Linked DNA regions of Kluyveromyces lactis. The protein of the gene in region 2 interacts with the protein of the main gene of each other region in a pairwise test. Links are inferred from orthologs where the notes say so. Each region holds a gene or a part of one and is shown on either strand. Other genes may lie near its edges. The genes, in order: PEX10 and PEX11.

Region 1 (3,256 bases), about 1.3 Mb from region 2:
CTAATAATGCTTCGTAAGTATCTAATTGTGTGAATTGAAGTTCCGATAAAGCGTTGTCATTTGGTAAAGGTAAATTTTCAAATAAGAACGGTGCTGCGCTCAACGGTGAATATTTGCTGAACGCAGTCTCTGGATTCACATAGATGAGTGTTTTCGATAGTGCTCTTATCGATAGAAGATACCATTCATCTTTAGAAAGGTTCCTTTTTTGTGCTAAAAATACCAAGAGCATCAATCCAGCACCCTGTTTCACACATTCTGATATCTGTGTTTTATCTCTTGTCACATTATATATGATTCTTATGGCTTGATTGTAAGATGAGGTGGATAGTTTTATCGATTTTAAAGAACCGATCAAGTCTAAATCGATAATATAATCACGGTTAAACTCTTCTATGTCCTTAACATTTTCCAATGTCGGCTCGTCATTCTTTTCTTGGTTGGTTTTCAATGAAGCTTTTAATTTATCGACTGTATCCTCATTCTGTGACGGGTGCTCACTTACGTTTGCTAATATAATCAAGAGTCCGTATAGATCAGTCGGTGTAGTGTCCTGTGACTTGATCAGCTCGATTATTTTCAAACATACATCACCGTTACCTCGTAGCAAGACTCTGACAGAGGGCTTCAATGTCAAGTAAGCTAAAGCTTCAGTATTAATCTCGATATTTTCGCCATTCGAAAGCGAGTCGATGAAAAGGTTGATGCAAGAGTTAAGAGTTTCCTTTTCTATCTTAGTGAATGACCAGATCTTGATCAAAACCAACGCAGTCAGTACTTTATACTTCTCGACCTTAAATGATTGTTGTAACGTCTTAAGGTAATGCTCTGCAATGAATCTTCTGACTGCTTCGTCAATACAGGAAACAGCCAAGAGACGAAGAGCCCCGTTTACAAGATGTTCATCATCCGCTGAAGAATTCAAATTCCTAGTCAATATGTCCTGGAAATCTGTCGAAAGAAACATGTCTCTACAAACGCCAAGGCAGATAGGGAACACCAAAGACATAGCATCTACAAGCAAACGTAAAGAAACATTGCCAGAATCTTCCTCGGCTTCAATTAACAATTGTTGTAGTATATTCCCACACTTCTGCTCCGTATTATCTGAATGGTTGGACATCAACGATTTCATCGTTACAAGAAGTAATGGCCGTATCTCTTGTATGCTACTTCTTAAAAGTATTCTTCTGCAAAGAAACTCCAATTGACCCCAATCCTTCACATAACCGGCAAGCATCGGCACACACTTCCAGCATCGTGTTTCCTCGCCATTGTTATGTATCTCTGAGGTCCAGTTTTGAATAACGTGCAACAAATCCGTCACGTCCTTCGGAGATGAACATCTTTCTTTCAATACACTTTGAGCATCGGCACTATCACTGCCAACAATTCTATCCCAAACTTTATTCATAGCGTTGATATCTTTATTGAATTACAAAAAGAATAAATTCACAGAATTGAACTATCGGTACCAGCCCAAACAACTGTATGTTAGATCGGGTTTAGTTATCTCTGGTTTCGAACCCTATGATTAATCAAATAAAACTTCATTTCTCCAATTGATCAATTTCAACCATCTAACATCTTCAAAAACGAATAAGAACACAAACTGACGAGAGACAAGCAATGGCACCAGACATGAAGTTCCCATTTGCTGATGCACCTAGTATAGTTCAGGCGCATCAAAAGGATGATACTGTGGAAAACTTGCTGTTACAAAAGATCCAGGATGTACTACGGAAAGTTAAGGGACAACAGTTCACTAACAGGTATGTTAGTGAGATAATGATCCTCAGCAAGTTGATATACTTGTCAATTACAACACTAAGGTATAGGAGAACGCTTGGAGAAGAGTACGTTGATTTGGCGTATGTTGATAGGCGAGGAAAAGGTGTTGCGAGACTCCTGCGAAGGATTGGTTTCGCTATCAGTTATTGTGGGGTACCGTGGATATTATCGAAAGTATTCTACAAGTATAAGCTCAATGAGAGGGGATCTGGTTTCTTGAAAGTATTCAATGGCAAGAGTTTCAGGGACATCTTGGATTCCACTTTGAATTTGCACTTAATTATATTCTACTTGAGCGGACAGTATTATGATATCTCAAAGAGAATATTTGGAATGAGATATGTGGTTGGCCATGAAATGAACAAGAATGAGGTAGAATTCAAGAAGAAGTCATCGCAAAACTACAAGATTCTTGGTTTTATACTTGGTATGCAATTAGCTTCTAAGCTTTTACCGCAGATTGCAGAATACATCGCTGACAGAATTGGAACAGATGATGGGAAGAGCCACAAGAGTTTAAGTGCATTAGCTAAAAAACACACCTCAAAAGATCTTAGCGATCTAGAAGTCCTACCTTTCATCAAAGAGGATTCACGTAAGTGTGTTTTATGTCTTAACTATATGCTGGATCCCAGCGCGACTCCGTGTGGTCACCTTTTCTGCTGGGATTGTATCATGGAATGGACGTTAGAAAGACAGGAGTGTCCATTATGCAGGCAAAGGTGTCCGAGACAGCTGACGATACCTGTTAGATAAAGCTTAGAAGAATATCTAAATGTTTCAGCGAGCTTTCTTGTATTATTAAAACAATCTGCTGTATATAACGGGGTTAAATCTATATGCCAATATGGAACAGTAGTTGTTTTTGTTTGCTCTTTTTCTTACTACCACTAGCTGGTAATGCATTGTCTAACGAATCCAAGTTGATAGAATCGTTGTCGTTTTGAGGCTTACCCCAAGTGGATGGGTTTGGTATGGTAGTCTGTTTCACTGGAGGTGCAACAAATTTTTTCTTAGTAGCTTGTAACTTGGGGAAGCTGGTTGGATTAGGTGATTTGATAGCTGTCACATTCGGTTGTGAATTCACTACAACGGTTGAAGAACCTGGCGGTGATTGATTCTTCTTCGCATAGTTTAAAGAAGTTGATGACGATGAATTGGAAGTCAAACCGCTCCTAATAACTGGAGAGGACGGTGAAGAAGAGCCATTTTTCCGCAAATTAGTATACGAGGCTTTGGAGGAGAATATAGGTTCGGATACAGCTGGTAGAGACGTGAACTTCACGTTCGACCCGCCAACACCAGAAGAACTCTTTTTACCCCATTTACCATAAACTACGTTAACCGAAGATGATGAATCGGCGACGAGAGGTTTGAATTTCCCTGCATTCTCTTTCTTCTTCATAATGCCTTCGTATATAGCACGCAATCTTTTGTGTTTATCCGAAGTTGAATGATATAACTC
Region 2 (2,697 bases):
CTCCTGTTTTTGCATGACTGGGAGGATATCCAGTGCCTGTGCTCATTTTTTTTTTCAATTCTTTTGTCTTTTTAACAATCTGCTGTATTTCGAATACCAGATCAGATTAACAACCGGCTTTTCAATGAAAAGAACAGAATGAAATAATCCCAAAGCGATTAGTCTAAATTGAGGAATATCCACCTATAAAAATAGTGGTGATGTTATCCCGCAGAAGCAATGAATTACGAATAGAAGTGCAAGAGTAGCCGCGAATATGGTGCTCGCTTAATGTCCTCGATGAAATGGAATTTCAAGTAGTTTTCAACAATTTCAACTTTGAAGCCTGTCGAAAAGTGTAAACATCAACAAGTGCGGGTAACATTGGTATTAAAATGATGAAACAATGGTGATAGTATATCCTAATAGCTGCACAGACATCTAGTTAATACGGAGGCATCATCAGAAATTATCCCGGTACCAGCTGAAATTACAATTATCAACATATCGAGTAATATGTTAAGTTGAAAGAAGATACATATAAATATATATATATATATAAACTAAATTAAAGGGAAGGAGAAGTCCTTTAAGCAGTCTTCCAGACATCTTGTAGACCAAAGACGGATGTAGCGACACCAGCCAGGGCGACACTTGATTCGTCATTACGCAAGAATTGCAAGTTATTTAAGACAATGAAAGTATCGATAGAATCCCAGATTAGTCTTCTGAATGCGGCGAATCTCTCATTGTAGTAAGCGGTCAACTTTTCAGAACTAGCCTTTTCGGTTGGTGCATTGCCCTTAGAACTCAAAGAGGCTTCGATCTTTCTTTGAGAAGTGTACAACTTACGGACATCGGTGATCAAACCAGCGATCAACGCAACGAACCAAAACCAGTTTGTGTAACGAGGAACTTTCTTGGCAGTAATAGGAGTAGCTGGGATTAACTTTAGGATGCGCAACAAGTTAATTTGATCCAAAGTTAAATACCCAACATAACCCACATTTTTGATTATGGACAACCATCTAACCCATTGATCTGGAGCAATCTTGTTATCGTATAATTTGGCTGCGTCCTGGATATGATTCAATGGCTTGAAGAATCTCAAAATCTTTCTGACAGACGTGAATTCAGATTGTAACTGTCTATTCAAACCAGATCTGTATTGAACGGCAAGGAATCTAACCAAGTACTGTAGCAATCTCAAGATCTTTTCTCTGCCGGCTGTTTTATTCAACAAAGAAATGAATTTGGTCAACGTAGGATGATAAATAACTGTGTCTAAAACCATTTTTGTTTGTAAAACTTATAAGTTTAGATGTGGAAGATGACTCAGGATAACTGGCTCAGTATTTCAATTGATTTCTGAAGGAGGTAGAATATTGGAAACAGTATATTCAAACAAAGCACTAGAGAGAGATTGTATCGCAGGTGCAACGTATTTCAACAGAGTCTGATGAGATAGGAATACAAGGAGTAGTGAAAATGCTTAAAACTGCTTGTCTTTATTTTCAGCAGTCATTTTCTACTTTATATATAAATATATATATATATATATAAAGTGTGATGTTATACTTCATATGTCAATGGGCATAGATCAAAGCAGGGTCAACAGAAAATAGTCAGGCTCTACGGTAAAAGGAGAGGATTTCCACTTAGCAGCGAAACGTACTTTATTATCAACTTCTTTCGGGTCCCCCACAAAAAATGGGAGGGACAAGTCAGAGCTGCGAAGTTACTAGCACGGAAGATCCTGCTGTATTAAGGACATTTGTACCGGGGGAAGACATGCAACAATAGCAATCTTACTAGGTGAAGACTGGGATCCCGGGAAAAAGGGCGACATAATATTTAGTATGTAGGCGCACATTTTTACGTGTATTTCGGACCAAATGTCCTTCCGCTAACAGCTTGAAAAGGATGGCCCGATTTGTTCCGAAACTCGAGAAAAAAAAAAGGGACAACGAGAAAGCCATGTATGCGAATCGTGTACAGTGATATAATGACGATTTTGTAGTGTGCAAGCATCAATCACGTGATTTATATCATCGAGATGCATTTCCTCTCAACATCGCGAAACACGTAAAAAAGAATCGTTAACTAGCGAGCGATGTCTTCTGCTTTATAATACTGCGTTCTTTTCTATTGTTTACATTTAGAGCCATCAAGCCCAAACCTAAAATCATTTAAAGCATTTGTATATCTCATATTGAAGAAACGCCAAAAGTAAGATTACAATTCCAAATACCAGCCTATATTTTGCCGGTTCAGCTTCCTGAGAATCGCCTTAGATTTATGCCGAGATGGGATACTATGATATAGATGATATACTGGCTGATGGTACTAGATTTCCCTGTAGATTCAACTATGACGTTCCTGGGTTGGGTTATCTGGAGGGAAACCCAGGCAGACCAATATCGAAAAATGCAAAACTAGAGTTACCACTTTGGATGGTCCATCTTCTTGCTGTAGTGGGTGCGCAATCTAATGAAGATTCTAGAGTTGAAGAACCTCTTCCTTTTGTCGAATTGCTCCCGCCTGATTTATTCGCTCCAAGAGTACTAAACGCTATTAAATCTGGTGCTACTAGTCTCGATCTTCACTCAATTAGCCCTCATTTCTACACCCTGGCTGAGAAGTGGGCCACACTGTTCTCGGATAAAGAACTATCACAAGTCTTGAAAGATATGCTACTAGAAAGAGGTCAAGAGATCA

What was found.
Region 1: the proteins of PEX11 (region 2) and PEX10 interact in a protein complementation assay, tested with the Saccharomyces cerevisiae proteins (2 studies listed by BioGRID). The link is inferred for Kluyveromyces lactis from reciprocal best matches to the Saccharomyces cerevisiae genes PEX11 and PEX10.

The regions. Positions count from the first base shown.
Region 1 is NC_006041.1:1,480,663-1,483,918, reverse strand, and holds PEX10 (ubiquitin-protein ligase peroxin 10), read left to right. Parts: upstream 1-1,629; coding exon 1,630-2,547; downstream 2,548-3,256. Other genes in the region: SHE4 (She4p), read right to left, coding at 1-1,414; E3 ubiquitin-protein ligase HEL2, read right to left, coding at 2,627-3,256. UniProt on the Saccharomyces cerevisiae protein: E3 ubiquitin-protein ligase component of a retrotranslocation channel required for peroxisome organization by mediating export of the PEX5 receptor from peroxisomes to the cytosol, thereby promoting PEX5 recycling.
Region 2 is NC_006041.1:176,946-179,642, forward strand, and holds PEX11 (Pex11p), read right to left. Parts: upstream 1,274-2,697; coding exon 569-1,273; downstream 1-568. Other genes in the region: SPT20 (Spt20p), read right to left, coding at 1-46; DNA replication protein PSF3, read left to right, coding at 2,286-2,697. UniProt on the Saccharomyces cerevisiae protein: Involved in peroxisomal proliferation. Promotes peroxisome division and biogenesis.